Alligator mississippiensis: one gene and its partners. The protein of the gene in region 2 binds, or shares a complex with, the protein of the main gene of each other region. Links are inferred from orthologs where the notes say so. Each region holds a gene or a part of one and is shown on either strand. Other genes may lie near its edges.

What was found. Proteins that work in one complex are often made in the same cells at the same time.
Region 1: WRAP53 (region 2) and NHP2 share a complex: the UniProt entries of both Homo sapiens proteins name them as parts of the telomerase holoenzyme complex. The link is inferred for Alligator mississippiensis from reciprocal best matches to the Homo sapiens genes WRAP53 and NHP2.
Region 3: WRAP53 (region 2) and NOP10 share a complex: the UniProt entries of both Homo sapiens proteins name them as parts of the telomerase holoenzyme complex. The link is inferred for Alligator mississippiensis from reciprocal best matches to the Homo sapiens genes WRAP53 and NOP10.

The regions. Positions count from the first base shown.
Region 1 is NC_081832.1:79,494,979-79,501,869, forward strand, and holds the start of NHP2 (H/ACA ribonucleoprotein complex subunit 2), read right to left. Parts: upstream 3,001-6,891; 5' UTR 2,956-3,000; coding exon 2,805-2,955; intron 2,726-2,804; coding exon 2,656-2,725; intron 1,237-2,655; coding exon 1,131-1,236; intron 126-1,130; coding exon 1-125. Other genes in the region: bromodomain-containing protein 8-like, read right to left, coding at 3,416-3,638, 4,530-4,598, 5,042-5,128, 5,902-6,047. UniProt on the Homo sapiens protein: Required for ribosome biogenesis and telomere maintenance. Part of the H/ACA small nucleolar ribonucleoprotein (H/ACA snoRNP) complex, which catalyzes pseudouridylation of rRNA.
Region 2 is NC_081838.1:24,752,252-24,759,881, reverse strand, and holds the start of WRAP53 (telomerase Cajal body protein 1), read right to left. Parts: upstream 3,003-7,630; 5' UTR 2,812-3,002; exon of another isoform or gene 2,723-2,811; intron 1,805-2,722; 5' UTR 1,787-1,804; coding exon 1,602-1,786; intron 1,485-1,601; coding exon 1,386-1,484; intron 1,191-1,385; coding exon 1,082-1,190; intron 863-1,081; coding exon 774-862; intron 558-773; coding exon 467-557; intron 212-466; coding exon 79-211; intron 1-78. Other genes in the region: tumor necrosis factor, read right to left, coding at 3,018-3,127, 3,229-3,376, 3,457-3,575, 3,926-3,973, 4,062-4,128, 7,065-7,192, 7,311-7,346, 7,447-7,515 and 1 more. UniProt on the Homo sapiens protein: RNA chaperone that plays a key role in telomere maintenance and RNA localization to Cajal bodies. Specifically recognizes and binds the Cajal body box (CAB box) present in both small Cajal body RNAs (scaRNAs) and telomerase RNA template component (TERC).
Region 3 is NC_081830.1:36,381,540-36,387,011, reverse strand, and holds NOP10 (H/ACA ribonucleoprotein complex subunit 3), read right to left. Parts: upstream 1,560-5,472; 5' UTR 1,483-1,559; coding exon 1,429-1,482; intron 950-1,428; coding exon 809-949; 3' UTR 501-808; downstream 1-500. Other genes in the region: uncharacterized protein LOC102563792, read left to right, coding at 4,162-4,625, 4,785-4,913, 5,022-5,155. UniProt on the Homo sapiens protein: Required for ribosome biogenesis and telomere maintenance. Part of the H/ACA small nucleolar ribonucleoprotein (H/ACA snoRNP) complex, which catalyzes pseudouridylation of rRNA.

The DNA of each region.
Region 1 (6,891 bases), on a different chromosome or scaffold from region 2:
CACAAGGGCACAGGGAGGGCCGTCACCTCCTCCAGACACTCTCCGTAAGCCTCTGCATACTCCTCGTTGGGCTTGATCATGATCACGCAGGTCGGACGCTTGGAGCCTGCAGCTGTTCCCAGATCCTGAACGAGGGAAGGAGGGAGATGCTGTGAGGTTGGCACCGGGCAGGCAGCCCCCATGTCCCTGGGGCCGGTGCAGGGGCTTCCTCCCCTCCACCAGGGCAGCACCGTACAGCCCAGCCCACGCCTCCGCCCCTCTCCTAACCTGAGCCCTCCCCCTGCCAAGGCTCTAATGCCCACCCTCCTCTCCCCGTGGCACCCCCAGCAGCACGATGCTGCCCCTAAGGGGAGCACTGACACTGCCCAGTGCCCTGGGCACAGCAGGGCCGCCACTCTACCACACAACACGGAAGAGCAGGAGGCCAGTAGCAGGCAATGCTGTCGTGGTGCCAGCTGCACTGTGACCATGCCAGCTCTGCAGGGAACCCGCTGCAACACAATTAGGGATCACCCAAGCGTGCTAGTTCATCTCAGCCTGTCTCCAGCCTCTAACAGACCCCACAGCTGCTCCCTTCTCCAGTGCTCCAAACACTGTTCCCACCACAGCAGTTTAATAGAGGTCTCCATGGGCAAAGCAGCTCCAACCACCTTGGCGGGAAGCATCTGTCTCAGCTGGAGACCAGCTCAGCTCCTGGCCTGAAGCAGGACGATACTGGGCACCCACCGCAGAAGCCCCCTTCACTGAAGAAGCCAAGTCACAGTACTAAACTGTAGCCATAACTTCCTGCAACAGGGAGCCCTGGAGCTAGGGGCAGCATGGAGCCATTTCATTCCTTGTAGCCATTGAAATATGTGGAGTTCTCTACTGCTGGTCGCCAAGGGCAGACAACAGGAGCTCAACCAGCTAAGAAGCGTCGTCTCCTCCACGTGTAAGTCTCAGCTGTGAACCTGCTGCCTTGCACAGGAGAGCAGCAGCAGCAGCAAGGACCTTGGGCTAGGCCCCAGGGCAAGTTTATTGCCACCAGAAAGGGGAAGGGATAGAATCCGAGAGAGCCTGGCCCAAGACTGCTCCGTGCTCTCCCAACCCCACAGGGATTGTTGTTTTCAGACCCCTCCCACCTGCCTTACCGTCTTGGAGGGGATGTAAGCATAGGGCAGGCTCCTGTCTTCACACATCACGGGGATGTGGCAGTACACTTCAATGGGCAGCGTGTCTCCAGCCAAGACCACAATCCTGAAACAGCAGAGAAAAGTTGTGGGCCAGGAAGGCAGCGAGAGCATGAGGAGAGCGGATGAGTGGGGGCGAGAGGGCTGGTGATGGATAGCATTTGGGGCTGGCACCACTGGTCCCCCAGCAGGGCGAGGCCAGGTTTGGGTCAGAGACAGAATCGGCACCAGTACGGGAGTCCTGCGCGCACAGCACCGAGTAACAAGTCTGGTCCCAGGTCCCCACACATATGGGCTGGACACTGATCCTCTCGTCTCCTGTATGCTGAGACAGCTGAGAGAACACGAAAGAGGCAGGATTTGTTTGGCGGCATCTTTTACTGCACCAGCTCTCCGGATGGAGACCAGACAAGCTTCCACGCACAAAGCATCCTTCTTCGGTCTGGGAATGAAGCAGCTTCAGCCTAAGCCAAGTAGCTGGTAAAGCAATGTCACAGAAGTGGTAAACCAAAGGGATGGGAATAATTTAGAGGGGAAGCAGGCAACAAGCAAAGTAGCTACCAGACCAAGCAAACAGCAGTGCTCACATACTTCGGTTCCTCTAGTCCAACTTTCTGCGTGGTCCATCCCCACTGCTGATAACCCACGGAGCAGAGGAGGTCACTGCCCGCTCCCTTTGGAAGTGACCATTTGTATTTAGTAGGGTTGGAAAGCTGTTGTCAGAGGCAGGCAGCTGCCCACGGTAGTCCGAAGTCAGGCAGGCAGATTTACACCTCAGACCAATTCTCTGAATGTGTTAGTGCACGTCCTTGAATGACAGTCTTCAAGAGTCTGCCCTGCCTTCTGCCCAAGTCGTAATGATGTGGCTCAGCTTAAAAAGGCCCTGACCTAGGCCCACCCCGCCCCCTTTACAGCGCTCGATGATGCTCACAGCACTGGCCACCGCAGCATTTCGCGGCTCCACAAGACGCAAGCAATCAACTGCCCCGTTCTGCTCGGTTACCTGATCCGAGCAGCAACCACCCACGCGTGCAAAGCAGAAACCTCCGACCAACTGTTTTACTCCGTCAGCGGCGGGGCAGCACCCACAGACGCGAGCGAGCACCGCGTTCCTGTAGTGAGCAGCTGTAGGTGAAGCACCTACCTATCTGCACACAGCCGTTCCTCAGCTTTCACACCTGGGCTTTGTGAAATCCCTCTCTTCACGGTAAGTGCCAAGCCGCTGTTCTGTTACAAGGCAGCAGGCACCAGTCAAACACCTGAACGCTGCTAGGCACGGTCAGCAGCCGTCGGTTCCAACTCCTGCGAGCAACGGACCGGGCCGAACAAAAGCGACTGTTCTTCCTCGTACGCGGCTGCGCCAGCTTCTCTTCCTCTCCCAGACCCTTGCGTCGGGAAGCCTGCCGCAGCCCCCGCGCAGGTGGCGCAAGGAGCCGCCCCTCGGCGCTGCACGCGCTCGCCCCGCCCCGCCCCGCTCGGGTCTTACCCCTTCTCGCCCTTGTTGATGAACTTCTGCACCTCCTTCACCCCGCGCCGGATCTGCTTGTGCTTCGCGGCTGCACGAGAGAGACAACGTCAACGCCGGTTCCGCGCGGGCCCCGCTCCCCACGTGCGCCCCGCCCCGCCCCGCCCCACCTTTCTTGATGCACTTGTACAGCTTGCGCGTGAGCTTGCGCGACGCGAGCGGCTGCGCGATGGGGTTCAGGTTCGCCAGCTGCTCCCGGTACGTGCGCTCCGGGCCGCCCTCCGGCTCCGCCAGCGCCTCCGACTCCAGCTCCCGACCCATCTCCGCGCCGGCCACGTGCCGCGCCGCCGCGCGCTTCCGCTTCCGGGTCCGCGCGGCCCCCCGGGAAGGGCCGCGGCCCGCCAATCGCGCCCCCCGCCCGCAGGCCCCGCCCAATCAGAGGCGCCCGCCGCCCCGCCCCGCCCCGCCCCACCCCGAACAGACCACTCCGGGGCGGGCGGCCGAGCGAAGCGCCTTTATTTGGGGGGGGGGGGGGGGGTCGCGTCCGCCGCGCTCAGCACCTGCGGGCGGGACAGGCGGCGTCAGGCCGGCGGGAGGAGGGCGCCGCCCCCGCCTTCCTCCTCCCCGCTCCCGCTCCCGGGTCGCTGGAGCCTGGCGGGCCTGGCCCAGGAGAGCCCCGGCCCCGGCCCCGGCCCCGGCACAGCGCCCCAGGAATGCCCAAGCAGACGGGGCTTGCTTCTGGCGGGGCCAGGGCCCCGGACCGCGCGCCGCTGCTTACCGCTCAAAACAGCCTGTCCGCGGAGCACAGGAGGGCCTCGCCCAGCATCTGCAGCTGCTGCAAGACCTCCTGCTGCATGGCCAGGGCCGTGCGGTGCACGTGGTGGTCGGAGCTGTTGTACATGACGGCGTTGTGGAACATCAGCATGAGGTCGCGCTGGAACTGGGCCGTGCTCCGGATGTGGCCCTTGGACACACTTCTCTTTATGGTGGTTAAATCCATGGGTCTGCAGGAGGAGACCCCATCAAGTATCACAACACAGGGCCCCCCAGCCCCGACACCGCCGCCTCAGGCCTGGCGCCCCGTGACCCTGCACGCGCAGCAGTTCTCAACCCAGCTCTCAAGTCGGGAACCTCAAAAACCAGGAGGGTTTCGCCTTGTGACAGATACCTGCCACCCAAGCACTGTGCACTGGCAACTGCTTCTAAAACCTGAGCAGTACTGAGCACCAGACAAAGCAGCAACCTGAACAACTAGTTACATCAGCCCACACTGAGGGAAAATGAAACAGTAGTAAAAAAGATCTTAGGAACTAGGATCTACAGTGTGCATACAACACGGAGCTCTCGGGGCAATAATGCACCGCCAGGAGCAATGAACGGTCTTGGGGGCGGGGGAGACCGGGCAGCGGGGAAAGCTGTAGCCGAGCGCGCGTCGCTCGGTGAGCTGCTGGGGCTGGGGCTCAGGTTCCTGCCGCAGACCACACAGCCCCGTCCCCCAGGGGAAGCGGCCGATTCCTGAGGGGTTCGCAAGTCAGGAACATAACAGTCGCCAAACACCTAAGGGTGCAGATGTGAAGGATGGAGTCAGAGGAGTCCATGTGGCTGTTAGGGGCATGTTATAAATAAGGAAACTGGGTCTTTGGGACAAAACTCCCCTCGGGAGAGCGGGGCTGGGCAGGGTGGAAGCCCCGTAACGCAGGGCTAACCCCAGGAGTGTAAGCCACCGAGGGCCTTCCCGCCCCAGTCTGAGGGGGCAGGTACCCTGTGACAAGCCTGGGGCAGGTTTCCTAACCCAGCCGCCTTGGACTTTCTCTCTCTGGCAGCTGGATCCAATGAGGCCAGAGAAAGCAGGTGGAAAGGGTCTCAAGCAGCTCTCCTGCCTTCTCCCAACTGACCTTTTCACCACATCCTTGTACCCAGGGGCTTGCTTGTCTGACACTGGCTTCAGGAACGGGCCGCTGTATCTAGGGGACAAGCCCAAAGAGAATGAGGCGAGATCCAGGTCTGCCCTGGCTGGCAGCTGACTCCCAAAGAGGGAGTGGGCTGTGGGCAGTGACACACCGTTGCTTGAATGGGCTCATCTGCCTGCCAGTGGCCCCTGGTTACAGTGGCTGGTGCAGCCAGCACCAGCAGAGGAAAGTCTGAGACCCTGCTGGGGCTGGCTGAAGCCAGACTTAGCCCTCCACATCCTGCACAGACCAGCGGCTGCCAAACAAAGTAATAAGAATGGAGGTGCAAGGCCAGAGCCCTGGAGCAAGGACCCCTTCCTGCTGCAAGGTAGGCAACATGAGAGAGGAATGCAGGAGAAACAGCTGGATTGCTGGTGCCTTCAAGCAAGAGGGGGTGCTGATGGCACTGGGGAGCCAGGGAGAGCATGGACCCACCCCACCACACCCTCCATACACACCTGTGACTGGCTATCATCTTCCAGATGGACAGCAGAGTCTTTTTGAAATGCATGCGCTGCAGAGGGTCATCCCAGCTCAGCTGCACCCTGCACAAGACACCACCCAGTCAGCATGCCTGGAGGGTCAGGGAGAGGCCTACACTGCTAACCTCCCACCCACCATGTGTGGCCAGAGATGTACAGGGCAGGTGCCCCTTGGGGCAGCATTTCCCAGTGCACTCCTTCCTGAAGTCTCTTTGGAGACCCTCCCTTAGGATTTACCTGTGCCCATGACCCAAGTCTACCCTGTCTGGGACCACCTCTCTGGCTGCTGAGCCAGAAGGCATCAGAACCAGGAGAACAGTCGCTGCACTCTGGCAGGAGACTTTTGAACAGGGTCTGTCTTCTCTCTCTGTTGGGAGTGAAGGGTGTCCTCATTTCTGCTGCACCTTTCTTGGTTCATCTCCTGACCCTCCTCACCCACACACCACCCAAGGGAGAATCTGCAAATGAATGGCCTGTTTCTTGAAGAGCATTTGGGTCCCAGTGCAGGGAGTGGGGAGGCCGGCCCCACTGCTCAGTGTACCATATGCTCCCCTCAAGGACAGTGCTGGCAGGCTGCCTGCAGGACTGCCTGGCAGAGCAGGTCCCCAGCTCAGGCTAGGCCATGGTCACTTTGTCCCCACTCCCCTTTTGCTGCACCTGCAGTAGAACCAACACCCAAAGGTCGGAAGCCCATCACCAGCAGCGACCGGGGCCATCTCTTCCTCCACTTTCTGCTGGCTTGCCACCCTCCCCAAAGTGACCTGCCCCCTGCCAATCCCTGGCTTGGCCTCACATAGACAGCTCCAGTGAAGGCGCCACAGGGCTGCACTACTCACAGCTGCGAAGGTGCTGGGTTCATGTGTATAACATCTGCCGGGGAACCCGCGGAGGTTCTGCAGCCGCTATCTCCTTGTGCAGGGAATACAGTGTTCCCCTGCCTCTCCTGCTGGGCTTGTCCTGGCCCCTCCTCCTCAGCCTTGCCCTGGAGGACAGACAGAGAGGAGTGGCTGCTCAAAGCCAGGGTCTCAATGACAAGGTTGCTGGAAAAGCCCCATCCAGAGGTGGCACTTGCAGGAGCCAACCTTCAAATCCTGGTCCCCAATCTCCAGGAAGTGGGTGTAGCAAGTGGGTACACAAGGAGCCCCCCAGTCCTGTCTGAGGTGCCGTAAGTTGTGCCATGAGCCACAGGTCTCACTGTGGATCTGAGAGTCACCTTCAGTCTCCAGTGGGGATCGACAGCCCACCACTAGCATTACGAGGGAGGCTGTGGACACGCCGCAGGTAGAGACCGGGAGGAGACAGCAGAGTAACAGAGAAAGCTGGGAGAATGCAGACAGAGGATGGAATGTGCTTGTTCCCTCACAAGCTCCTTGTGACAGAGCAACAGTGAATGGAGCCTGCCAGGGGGTGCTGAGCAGTGCTGCTGCAACAGCCACTTCTCCGTGGAGCACAGGGACCATGGCTGTGTAGGACAACCCTTCTGCCTGGATGGCAAGCAGCACTGAGAGAAGAGAGAGCTTCCCAGTGTCCAGGACAGGGAACTGCCTAGGGCAAGTGGGTAAAGAAAGCCCCAGAAAGTGGAGGAAATTTGTTCTGCAGGACTTTGAAAACTGGGTGGGTTCTAATGCTCCACGGTCCAAGACAAGGCTGCCCTGGCTCTGTAGAAGCAGGGGAGCCCCACAGGAATTTTTCGTCCCTAATGTCTGATTCTGTGACACGCTAAAGCAAAGAGCCTGGCCCCAGGGAGCAAGGGATTGTCCTGCTGTATCATCGCTGTTACTCAGGGTATGGTACTACCTAGAGGGGTGCCACTGAGATCACGGCTT
Region 2 (7,630 bases):
GCTCTCTCAGTGGGCATGAAACCCAGGCGTCCCAGGGACCCCCCCTCACCCTGGTGGCGGGGGAGGGGGATGTCTCACCGAAGGTGGGCCGCACCTCGCAGGTCCGGCCTGGGCGCTCAGTGTCGAAGACCCTCACAGTCTTGTCAGAGCCACAGAAGAGCTGGGCCCCATCCGGGGTGAAGCAGAGCGAATGGGCGGCTGTCAGCTCGTCCTGGGGGGAGGGGGTGCATCAGGACACCTGGGGTCTCCCCCCAGCACTGCCAGGGGATGGAGGAGTGGAAGAAGGGGTGGGGCAGGGCCTGGATGCCTGGATTCTCACCCCAGGGCCACGCCAGGGGGTGGAGGTGGGGGTAGAGGCAGCCTGGACACCTCTGTTCCCTGCAGCTCTGGGGGAAAGTGAGATCTGGTGGGGGGGCTAAGGTGTAGGGAGCTGGGAGCCTAGACACGCAGGTACGCAAACACTCACCAGGTGGTTGTAGCAGCGGTATGTGGCCCGCAGCTCCCCACTGAAAGCATCCCACACGTGGATCGGGTTGTCCCGGCAGCTGCTGGCCACGCTGGGGGGTGGAGCAGACATGAGGGGAGGAGGCGGAGCCAGTTGCTGTCCCACCCCTGGGGGAAGAGCCTAAACCCCCAAGATGCAGCCAGCTCCAGGCAGAGCAGCCAAATGTAACCAGGCTCAAGGATTGGGGGGGGGGGGACGAGAAGGGGACAGCCAGGCCGAGTGCCCTGGCTAGGCAGGATCTGGCCCTGGGCAGGGCAGGACAACTCACAGGCAGGTGGACGGCTCAGCCGAGCTCATCAGCGGGAACCAGCAGTAGTCATAGATGGTGTCGCCCTCGGCCATGCACAGCACTGGGCTCTGGGGAGGAAGGGGGCGGCTCGGACACCTGGGTTCCCTCTGGCTCTGAGAGGGGGGTGGGGGCTGGGAGCCCAGACACCTGGGTTCCCTGTGGCCTGCAAAGAACAGGCTCCCAGATGCCTGGGTTCCCCGTGCCCCTCCAGGGAGGGCAATGAAGGGGCTGGAGGAGGGAGGGGATGGGAGCCCGGGCGCCTGGGTTCCCCCCCTCCCAGGCCCCACCATCTCAGCAGCAGGCCCCCCTGTGGGGCTGTACAGCTCGGGCGGCAGGTCATAGATGCGCAAGGTGTTGTCGGCGCTGTTGCTCAGCAGGCAGGAGCCGTCCGGAGCCCTGCAAGGGATGCACGTGCCAAAATCAGTTTCTCCTTTGTCTCCCAGCTGCCTCCCTGGGATGATGGGGGGGGATTTTGGGGTGCTGCCCCCTGCAGGTCAGGGCCTCCCTCTGACCCCAGCGCTGGACCCACCCCGCCCCGCCCCAAACCCCCTTCCCTTTCCCTCTGTGTATGTGTGTGGGGGGGTGTCTCACCACTTGCAGCCCTTGAGGAAGTTCTCAGGGACGTGGCCATACTCGGCCCAGGCGCCTGTCAGCAGCACAGGGGGGCGCCCAAAGTCATAGGCTGGCAGGCTGGGGGGGAGGCGGGGTATCAGGTGGAGCCAGGAGTCCAGACCCCTCCCCACTTTGACCCCCCCCCTCCCCCGGCCTGGGCAGAACCAGGTGTCCGGGCCCACCCCTCATACTCACTAATACTCCTCTTCTCCCGGCCCCGCCTCGGGCAGCCCCACCCCTGGCTCCGGCCCCTCCCCTGCATCCCCCAGGCAGGGGGTGTCAGGGGGTTCTGGGGGGACAGGAGCAGGCTCCCCCACAGCTCCAGAGTCTGGAGGTGCTTCTTCCATGGCAGTGGGGGTGTCAGATCCGGGGTGGGGCATGCCTGCCAGGAGAGGGGTCTGGAGAAGAGAGGCAGAGGTTTATGGAGGGCAGTGGGACCCAGGCATCCGGGTTCCCCCTCACCCCATTCACACCTGCTGGGGGGTAGATTGTCCCATTGCCCCGTGCGGGGGGCCAGGCTGGAGGATTCGGCTGTCCCAGTGCCCGGGGGGAGGGGCAGGTGGGGGGGCGGACTGTGCCATTACTCCAGGTTGGGGGAGTTAATGCGGGGGGGGGGACTTGAACTGATCTTGGTGGGGGGGTCAGGCTGGGGGGATGGACTGCCCATTGCTCTGGGGGATCAGGTCGGGGGGTGGGCTGCCCCTTTGCCCTGGGGCGGTCAGGGAGGGGGGTGCTGGAGTGTCCCATCACCTGCCCGGGCCTCCCGCAGAGACACGCGCTGCTCAGCAGCTGGAAGCCGCCATGACACCAACTCTCGCGAGAACTCGTGAACTCCAGCTCAAACCTCCCGCTCCCGCGTGAACTCGACGACCCATCTCGCGAGAGCCCTGCACCGGCCCTGACCTGTCGCGAGCGCTTCTTTGGCAAGATCTCGCGAGAATTTCGACCGGGGAGGTGCCGCGGCCGCTAAATCCCGCGGTCTTTCGGTGAGGGCCTCGCGCAACTTCGGTTCCAAGTCGTACCGCGCGAAATTTCGCGCTACCCTGGCCATCCTGCCTGAAAATGCCGCGAGATGTGGGCCCAATCTCACGAGATCTCGGCGGCTTGGCTGTATTTAAACCTTTCGTACGTCCCGTCAATAAGCCTCAGGCCCGGCCCAGCCAGTGCCCCTCACTCGCAACCCAAGGGCTTGAGGGACCCCGGGCTCTCGCCTTCCCCCCCCCCCCACCCCCTTTGTTACCCCCCCACCCGAGGTGGACCCCAGGCGCCCGGGCCCACCCCCGTTGCTACGGCGACAAGGAGCCTCAGGCCTCACGGAGATTTCGGGAGTGATGCCCTTGTTGCTACGGGGAGGAATCGGTGCTCGTTGGCGTGCCCGGGTGGTCGCAACGCCTCCTGCGCCCACCTGCCCCGGGCGCCTGGGTCCTTTTTCCCCACGTGTCCATGCGGCGTCCCGGACGCCTGGGGCCTTCCCCGTCTCGGCGCCACCGCCCGGATGCCTGGGTCCCTTCCCGCTGGTGGCGGCCGGCTCTGGACGCCTGGGTCCCACCGTCTCTCTCGGCGACGCCCGGGCTCCCTTTTGCGGGGCGCTGCCCGGGCGCCCGGGTCCCTCTAGAGCCGCACCAGGCCCAGGAAGGTGCCGTGGGGGGTGAGGTCCAGGGAGGCGTTGGCCCGGGGCACGGCCAGGCGCAGCCCCTCCCCCCGCTGCAGGTGGAAAGCACCTACGGGGCGAGAAGGGGCGGAGCCTCAGGGTGGGTCCCGGACCCCTCCCGAGCAGACGAAGGTGCCCCCGCCCCAACCCCCTCCTGGAGGCCCCGCCCACCTCCGCTGTAGCAGCTGTTGTAGGCCTGCTCCCGCTGCCCGGGCATGCTCTGGACGCAGCGCAGCAGGATCTGTCCCGGGCCCCGGCCCCCGGGGGGCAAACGCCAGAGCACCTGCCCCATGGTGAACGTGGGGTCGTGGAACAGCACCTGGGCAGAAGGGAGATGGTGAAGGGGGGCGTGCACGAGGGCGCGTGCACGAGGGCGCGTGCATGGGAGCAGGGCCCTACCTGGCTGTAGACGAGGTAGAGGCCCGCCTGGCGCACAGTGACGATGGAGCCGCTCAGCTCCAGGCCTTGGCCCTGCCGCAGCGCCGGCGCCCACCACAGCTCCGTCACGTCACCCTCAGCTGCGGGGACTGCGCTCAGCCCCAGCGTCCGGGGACCCCAACGCTCCCATCCCCTCCCAGAGAAGACCCAAGGGTGCAGGCCTATGTCCCTGCCCCCTCAGGGACCCAGGCATCCAGCCCCCACCTATCCCTATTGCCCCCCCCAGATGACCCAGGTGTCCGGGCCCCTATACCCCCATCCCCTCCTGGAGAATCGGGTATCTGGGCCCCCAATCACAACAGAAAACCCAGGTGTCTGCCTCCCCCGCCATGCCTCCATTGAAGCCCCCATCTGCTCCCAGAGAACCCAGGTGTCCGGGCTCCCAGGCCCCCCTGCTCCCACCCCATGCTGAGGAGCACCCAACACTCACCGTTGGTGGAGCAGTGGCTGGGGACCAGGTGCAGGGCCGTGCGTTGGCCTGGGAGGGGGGACAGACACCCCCTGAGGTCATAAACCCCCCCAACTCCCCCCCCATAGGATTGGGCCTGGGTCAGAGCCGAACTCACGGTGCTGGTGCCGTGGGCCGGGGGAGGGTGACGGCCTTTCGAGCTGCCTCCTGCTGCGGGGTGATACCTGGTGCGGATGGGAAGGGGTTAATGCCCCTTTGCACACCCCCACCACACCCGGGCCCCCAGAGCCCCACTCCAGCCCTGCACTGACCCCCCCCCCCAGCCCCCACTAGCTGGCCCCAGCAATGTGCATGTCTGTGTCCAGATCACCTGGGCTGTGCACGTGTGCGTGTGTCCTGGACACCTGGGGGGGCATCTGTCCCAGACACCAGGGTAGTGCATGCATATGGGTGTGTCCTGGGGGTGCTCATCTGTGTGCGTGCGCATGCTCTGGATGCCTGGGTCTTCTGCGGGGTCCTGTGTTCCCGGGGGGGGGGGGGGGGGGTGCTGTCCGGATGCCTCAGTTCCCTCCAGCTCGGGAGGGCTTTGGGCAGAGCCAGGACACCTGGGTTCCCTGACTGGCCTCCAGCCTCCCGCCCCCGGCGGGTGCTTTCCCCAGTCACTGCTTCCTGCTCCCTGGTTCCTCCTGGCCCTGGGCCAGGCCCTGGGGGAGGGTTAATGATTAACCCCCTGAAGATCTCCCCCCAGGGCCAGGCCACATGCATCTAAACCCCCTTGACCCCCCCCCAGACCAGCTCCCGGCAAGCACAAGGGACCAGGATGGGGCCAGGTAAGAGACCCCTGGAACCCCCCTGAGCTGGAGAAGGCCTGGGCGCCACCATCTCCCACAGCCCTGGTGTTGGCAGAGGACCCGAGCGTCTGAGCTGCCAGCACCCTCCCGGAGCAGGGAGAGGACCCAGGCATCCGGGCCCCCAGCCCCCCTCCTAGATCAGGGGGAGAACCCAGGCGTCAGGGCTCCCTGCAGCCCCCCCACATGACTGAGAGAGGACCCAGGAGTCCCGGCTCTCAGGGCTCCCTACTTTGACGCCCCTGACCCCACTTCCCCCCTCCCAGAGCAGAGAGCCAGGTGCCGGGGGTGGGGGGAGGTTCCTGGGCTCCCTGCAGCGAGAACCCAGATGTCAGAGGCTGGTGTGGGGGTCTCACCTGGGGGCGTCCGTAGGTCTTGGCCTCCAGCCGCTCCTGGAGCTGCTCCAGCTGTGCCCGCAGGGTGCCCACCTGCCTCTGCTGCATCCCCAGGGCTGCCAGGCAGGCCAGGACCCCCAGCACTGCCCCCCCTGCCAGCCATGGCGCCAGGGGGGGCCGCACCAACCCCCGTCCAGGGACCCCACTCATGAGGAGACCCCCTGCAAAAGGACCCAGGAGTCCAGGCCAGCCAGGTGTCCCTGCACCCTCCCCTTTTTAGAGCCCAGAGAGGACCCGGGCATCCAGGGCTCCCCGCCAGAGGACCCAGGCGTCCAGGGCTCTGTGGCCAGCGGGTGCAGGCCGTGGCCACCAAGTTGCAGGCGCCAGAGGCTCTTGCGCAAGGGGGCGGGGGGGGGGCAGGAAGCCGGGCCGGTGGCCAAGAGTATGCAGCGCCCAGCATGGGGGCGGGTGGCTGCCCCCACTACAAACTGGGAGAGAACCCAGGTGTCTGGGGTGCCAGTGGGGTGGGAGAAGCTGGGGGGGAGATGCAGCTGGCTCTGGGGTGGGTTGTGGATGGGTGTAACGGGAACCTCTTGTCCAGCATTGAGATGCAGCCAACTCTAGGGTGGGTCCTGGCTTCATAGAACAGGGACACGTAGGTTGGCACTGAGATTCATGCAGCTCTGGGGGTGGGTCATGGCTGGGTGTAACAGGGACCCCTTGTCCAGCACTGAGACGCAGCCACTTCTGGGGCGCATCATGACTGGATGTAACAGAGAACCCTAGGAGGGAACTGCAGCCAGCTCTGGGGTGCATCCTGGCTGCATAGAACAGACCCCTAAATTGACAGAGATGCAGCCAGCTCTGGGGTGGGTTATGGCTGAGTGTAACAGGAACCCCCAGGTTAGCACCAAGATGCAGCCAGCTCTGGGGTGGGCCTGGGCATAATGAGATCAGGCCCCGTTAGGTTCCTGGGAGGCTGAGGCCCGTACGCCCAACCCCAGCAGGGAGAGAACACAGGTGTCCAGGGCTTCCCAGCTCCTCCCCCTCCCTGCTCCCTTCCCCAAGCAGGAGGGGAGCCAGGAGTCCGGGCACCCAGTCTGCGGCCAAGCCTGTCACTGGTTCCACTGGTTTTATTTCTATTACAATAAATTTCTGTGTATAAAATTGTCAGGCCCCTCTCCCACCCTGGCCCCACCACATCAGGCTGGGGGAAGGGGCCAATGCGAGGCCCCACCCCCTCCCACCCGTGTGGGAGGTGCTCATTGGCTCCCAGCAGGGCCCTGCCCCGCCTTGCTCGGCTCAGCAAATGCAGCTGCTGCCACCCTAGCTTCCTATTGGCCGAGACAACCTGACCCTGACCGAGGGGAATTGAGATGCCCAACTTGGGGGAGCCCAGGCACCCTGGGACACCCTGACCTGGGGGAACCCGGGCATCCGGGTCCTGAGGTGCCCTGACCTAAGGGAACCCAGATGTCCAGGCTCGGAGATGCTTGCCCTGGGGAACCCAGGGACACCGTGCCCTGGGGGGACCCAGGCGTCCCAGCCCCATGGGACCCAGGCTTCTGGGCTTGGGAGGGGCCCAGCCTGGGCAAACCCAGGTGCCCAGGCTCAAGCTAGCGGAGCTGAAAGAGGCCCAGGTGGGTGAGGGAGGCGTCGGGCTTAAGACGCACACGGGGCACGGTGCCCAGGCGCAGGGTGGCACCGGAGGGCAGGCGCAGCAGCCCAGCCACACGACACCCGCGCAGCTGTGGCTCAGGGGGGCCTGCGCTGGGGGGGGGCAGCTGGTGCAGGCAGCGCAGTGCCGGCGCCACCCCCAACGCCAGCTCCAGCTTCACGTACACCCAGGCCGCCTCGTCGAAGTGCGCCTGCGGGGGGAGCGGGCATCAGAGGGACCCAAATGTCCGGGCCCCCGGCAGGGAGGGACCCCGGGAATCCAGGCCCCCGTGCCGGAGGGAACCCCAGTATCCGGCGCACCTGGGCATAGACATAGTAGAGGCCACCATGGGTGACTGTGAAGACGCCGCGTGCCTCGTCGTAGCGCAGGGGGCTACTCGCGTTCAGCCACGTCTCAGCCCAGCCCCGGATGGTCCCATCTGGCCCCGCTATGGGGGAGGGGGGGCAGCATGGGGTGAGGGGGAGCACAGGAACTGTGGGGCTGCCCAAGCTGGGAGAGAACCCAGGTGTCTGGGCTCCCCTGGCTGCCCACCCCATCCCAGTTACCTGTGTAGATCCCAGTCTGCCCATCAGCTGGTTGCACTGGAACAGAGAAACAAAGGGGGTCAGACAGAGCTTGGGGGATCAGGGGGGCTGGGAGCCCAGAGGCCTAAGTTCCTCCATCAAGAACCCCCCCCCTCACCTTTGTAGTGTGCTGCATACAGGGGCGTTGGCGTGGACTTGCGGGGACGCGGCCTCTTGCCCTTGGTCGCTGTGGGGAGCGGGGAGACATGAGCAGGGACTCCCCCGGCCTGGAGAGAACCCAGGGGTTCAGGCTCCCAGTGCCCCCACCCCGAAGCGGGGGCGCTAGACTCACCAGTCCGGCG
Region 3 (5,472 bases), on a different chromosome or scaffold from region 2:
GCATGGCGGGCCAGCATCTGTGGTAAGTATTATTTCTGCACTCCTTAAGTGGGTGCTTTAGTTACACTACTGATGCCAGTCCTGAATGCCAAGCTAAGCAGCTGAGTGGTGCAGTGCTGGGATACTAGCATTCAGTATCTTTCCCTCTCAAATTGAGCAGCAGAGACTCAAGCTTATTCTCTTCCATCAAGCTTGCAGTCTCCTCTCTTTCACTTTGTAGAATCTTCCCCACCTTTCCTGCCATGCGGCCCAACCACCTGATCCCATATCAGACCCTGAATGCAGCTTTCCCCCACATCTAATAAAGGCCATCTCACATTTCTAATATGATGAATATGCTTCCCTACTAAAACAATGAAAGCTTAGTCAGAAACCTTCCCTTGTTATGCTTAAGTTCCTAACACAACATGAACATCTGCACAGCATGAAACAAATGAGTACAGCTTCACCACTACTAGAGGGTTAAAAGCTCAGCAGGGAAGGAGAGTCTGGGCTAAGGGTAGAAATAAACATCAGATAATTTATTGGCAATCAAAAGACAAACCATGTTTTCAACTACAGTGATTAACTCTGGCTTGATCAAAAGGGGAATCAAAGCAGTTTTTCCACAGACAAGAGGAGAATGGGGAAAGGTTTTAGGATGTGTTTAGGATCAGCAGTCAGATCACAAGGAGAGGGATAAACAAAGGAGTGGAAGATGAGTTGGTGCAGAGGGAGCCACTGAGCCAGCTTCAGCTGAGCAGGACTGTCCCATTTCAGGGCAGTCAGGGGCACGTTTCTGTGCTTCCAGCTGGGAAAAGGCCTGCCCTCACATAATGGGCCGCGGCTGCTGTGTCATGAGGACGCCAAAGCGCTTCTTGATGGTGACCCGGTGGCGGGAGTATTTGTCATCTGGGGAGAAGCGGGCAGGATGTGCAGAGGAAGTCACTTGGCCAGAGGGGCTTACTTTCTACAGGGAAGGAAATGGAAAGAGATGATATCATACCAGGTCACGGCAACTGGGTCCTAAAATACAAATACCCAAGTCTGGCCACCCTGACGTCCCCACCCCCCACGGCTCCACTTTTGTGCTTCACTCACTGCCACCTCCTCTCCCAGCTCTGAGCCTCCACCCAGGTGGCGAGGGCATGTCACTCAACCCCCAACTCGCTGCCCCCCCAAGCCCTGAGCTCCACGGGCACAACTCTGCCATGACTACTCAATCCTGACCCCCAGGTCCCACCCCAGCCCTGGGGCACAACCCCCCTGCCCCACCTGCCCTGGGCTGTCCCACTGCCTGCCTCCCCCGACCAGGGGGATGCAAACCTGCACCCAGGGGCAGAGCGACACACGGCCCCGGCTGCACAGGACGTGCGCGGGAGGCTGGAAGAGATCTTGGGGCAGATAAGGGAAGGCGAGAAAGGTCCCGGGGCTGCGGCAGGGGCTCACCTTGAGGGTGTACACCCGGTCCCCCTGCTCGTTGAGATAGTACTGCAGGAACATGGCTCCGGCTCCGACCCGGCCCCAGATCGCAGCCGCACACGTGCTCCCAGCGCGCCCGCTCCCGCGACTGCCAGCGGGGACCGCCCCGGCGCACGGGGGGGGCGGGAGCTGCGGCCGCCTCTCCTTCCCCTCCCCGGGCACTCTGGGACTTGTAGGAGACGCCGGTCCCGGGCAGCCCGCCCAGCGCCCCGTTTCTGCCTCAGCCTCTGGAAATACGTTGTGCTTGGCCAGGAAATGAACACGCCAAACCAAGCTGCAGGTCCTCCAAACGCGGGACTTGATCTGCTTGCCGAGGGTTTCTCCAGGGCCTGAGGTCTTGGTTGTAGCCGTGTTGGTCTAAGGAGCTAGGCGGGTCCTGCCCTTTGTCTTCCAAATTTCCAGCTCTTTCCTTTTGTACAGACAGCCTCTTTTCTGCCTTGTATGACTGCAGTCTCCCTTATTCCCCTTTGGCTCCTTTACTATTGCTTCCATCCAGGAAGAGCACACACCAACTGCAGATGCTTCCTCAGCCTGGCCAAGGGTAAACCTGAAAGCTTGCAAAGAAGAATTTTTCCAGTCAGTGGTGACAGACAGGTAGAGGGTGCATGGGGGTGCACGTGCCCCCCCGAGAGCGCAGGTGCACCCTCTGACAGGCTGTGCTCACCACTTCAGTGATGGGTGTGGGGGCAGGCCGGAGAGCAGGTACCCCCCTGAAAGCACCAGCCAATTGCTGCAGGCTGCAGCACAGCGATCGGCCATCACAGGAACGGCTCCGGGGGCCCCCCCGGTAGCGAGATCACCTTTGTGGAGGGGGGACTCCTCCCCCACCCCAAGTTGGTAGGACTGGTCGTAGGGTGGGGCACGTGCCCCCCCTCCACAAAGGTGGCACCAGTCGCCCATGTCTCCAACTATTTGAGCTGGTCTAATAAAAGATATCAGATTTACCCAAAGAACCTTGTCTGCCTGCGTCCTTAGACCAACATGGCTACAACCTACACCCCCTTACTCACCTTTGCCCCCCTCCCCCCACCCTTCCCTGCTTTACCTTTTATTTTCCTGATTTCTACCTATTTACGTTCTCACTGACATCCCGCCACACTTCTAGCTTCTCTCATTTCTTGGAGTCTCAGAACAGCAGAGACTTCCTATGCCTGAAGAAGGGTGATTGCACCTGAAAGCTTGCAATGAACTTTTCCCCAACTACTCAGTTGGTGTAATAAAAGATATCAAATCTACCCAAAGAGCCTTGCCTGTTCAAGGACCTGGGCAGGCAAGGTTCTTTGGGTCAATGTGATGTCTTTTATTAGATAAAAGACTGAGTAGTTAGAAAAAAGTTCTTTGCAAGCTTCTGGGCGCAATCACCCTTCTTCAGGCATAGGGAGACTCAGCTGTTGTTCTGAGATCTCTAAGGAATGAAAAAAGCTAAAAGTGCAACAGGAGGTCAGTGAGAATATAAATTAGATGTCGCTGTTGAGGTTAGCTTCTTTTTTCTTCATGTTGTGAAGTTTCCAGTTCAAATGGCAAAATTCGATATCTTCCATGTGCAGTTTCATCTCCTAAAATGCATGCGCTCTGGCTCCACACTTTGCTCTCTAGTCCGGAAACCTGAGGCTTTTTCCTCATGTTGACTCCCTAAATGCTCCAGGACTTTCAATGGCTCAGCTGTGCCCCTGCAGTCTGAGAATTGCAGCCTCTCAAGTCCCCCGTGTACCCTAGGGCATGTAGGTTCTTGTTCAACGTTGGATGGCAGCTGTAGATTCTGCTACCCACCTGTTTTGGGAGTTGTTTTCAGGCCATGATTCATTCTTGGAGGGGACAAAGCCATGTGAATAAGCCTGCTTTTTACAATTCCCTAATACAGTTGTAAATCTCTAATACCCTAGTGCAACACAGGAGTTGTAGCCTCCTAAACCCTGGTTGCCTGCCAGTAATGATTTTGATACTGCCATTTCCATTCAGCCATTTTGCTTTAGCGTACCCTAAATTGAACCATTGAATGCAATTTGGGGAGCATCTTGGTTATTCCTACATTGTTCCTAAAAACCCTGGAGTGAGGGACTGAGAGTTCTTTGTGTATGGGGAGTGCAAAGCTGGTTAGCGGTGAGGAGCCCTGGCACACCTGGGAATGTGTGAAGCCCATGCCTGGAAGGGCAGAGGGCCTCCAGGATGGGACTGGGGCATCTACAGAGCTTGGAGAGGAGGGAAGAACTGCGATTAGTCTCTGACTGCGCACACCACGCCCGACTCAGAACCCGCATACCCCCAGATTCCAGATTTGTTTTGATTCAACCTTCCTGCTGGGACCTGGGATACCAACCTGGGATAGCCTTGATCCTTCTCAGACTTACTCCTTAGCTGGTGCCCCTGACGCCCCTGTACACTCCACCATGTCATCCCCCCCTGCACACAAAGGACCTGCATTCCCTGCCCACCTTTGCGTGGTTCTCAACACCCACTCTCGTTCCACACCCAGCTCAGAACCCCTGAGGCCTCCAGGTTCCGGATTTGTTTTGATTCAACCTTATTGCTGGGACACCAACCTGGGACAGCCTTGATCTTTCCCAGACTTGCTCTTGAGCTGGTGCAGCTGACACTCCTGCACACCCTATCCTGCCATCCCCCCTAAAAGACGGAGGAGAGAAAGGAGCCCCATTTCTTCCCCATCTTTCTCTGATTCTCAATACCCATGCACTTTCAGCTATGAGCTCCCAATCCCAACAGCCTCCCCCACCATCCCCAATCCTGCTTCCTGCCTTCCCTGGCACTGCTCTGCTCCTGACCTCACCAGATGCTCCCAATGGCAAATTGATTGTCAAATTGAAGGAGGAGGGGACCCAGGAGGCCCCCTGTGGGCAGACTATCATCCTTACAGCGGCTCCTGCAGATTGGGTCCCCCCACGGCAGGATGGGACCCCTATTCGACTTCAATTTGGAGCTGGGATCAGGACCATTCTGCTGACAAAAGCTGGGGAGGAGCCCAGAGTGAGGAAAACGGGGGAGTCGGAAGGTGCCCCAACGCAGCCACTTCCTCCCAGTGACTCCTCCTCAGCCTGCACTTCCAAAGGGGTCTATGAGAACTTTCGGCGCTGGCAGCACTACAAAGCCTTGGCAAGGCAACATTTCCCAAACACACCCGATGCAGAAGCACTGGCCTGTTTCTTCATGTGAGAGATGGAGGGAGACCAGGGCTGGGAAAGCAGAGGGCCTGTGGGTTAAGATTGAGGGGCACTGGCAAAGCTGTTTGCCTTAAAGGAGCTTGCAAGGGGTTTGTGTTTCAGGATGAGGGGCATTCTCTGGCATTAACCCTCTTCCTCCCTCTTCAGCCCCGTCCTGCGCTCCCTGACTCGCCTGCGCCCTGACATGACTCTGGAGGAGGGCGTGCCACGTGCTGTGCAAGAGTGGGAGCACAGCAGCAACTTTGAGCGCATGATCTTCTATGAGATGGCTGAGAAGTTAGTGGGGCTCTTCTAGAGTCTGTCCCAGGTTTCCTGCTTCTGGCACCTTGGGGCAGAGGGACTCAGACAATGCCACCCTTTTTAGACTCTGTCTCTCTTCCTCAGGTTTATGGAGTTTGAGGCAGAAGAGGAGCTACAGATCCAAAAGATGAAGCTCCTGAGTAACTCCCAGTTCCAGGCCCCCCCTGCTGAGCCCATCATGCCCCTTGCAGTCCCTGCCTCTGGTACCAACCAACAAGGTATTCTGCCCTCCCAGCCCACCAGTACAGACATGGAAACCTGTCCCTTACCACCAGTAAGGGAGCCAGTGGGCAGAGCCATTATCTCTCTGATGGATTTGGTCCCCTCTCCTTTTGCTAGTATTTTGCAAGATTCATTATTATTGTACAGACATAGAACTTTTGCACATTTTTGCACAGACCTTGTACATTTTTACAGGGGTGGGGGTGTTGGCATGAATTCACAGCTTTGTATATCTTTTACGTCAAGGCTTCTCAACCCTGCTGAACTCAAGTCACCCCTCACTGGACTCGATGCACCCTTCTATAACTTTTTT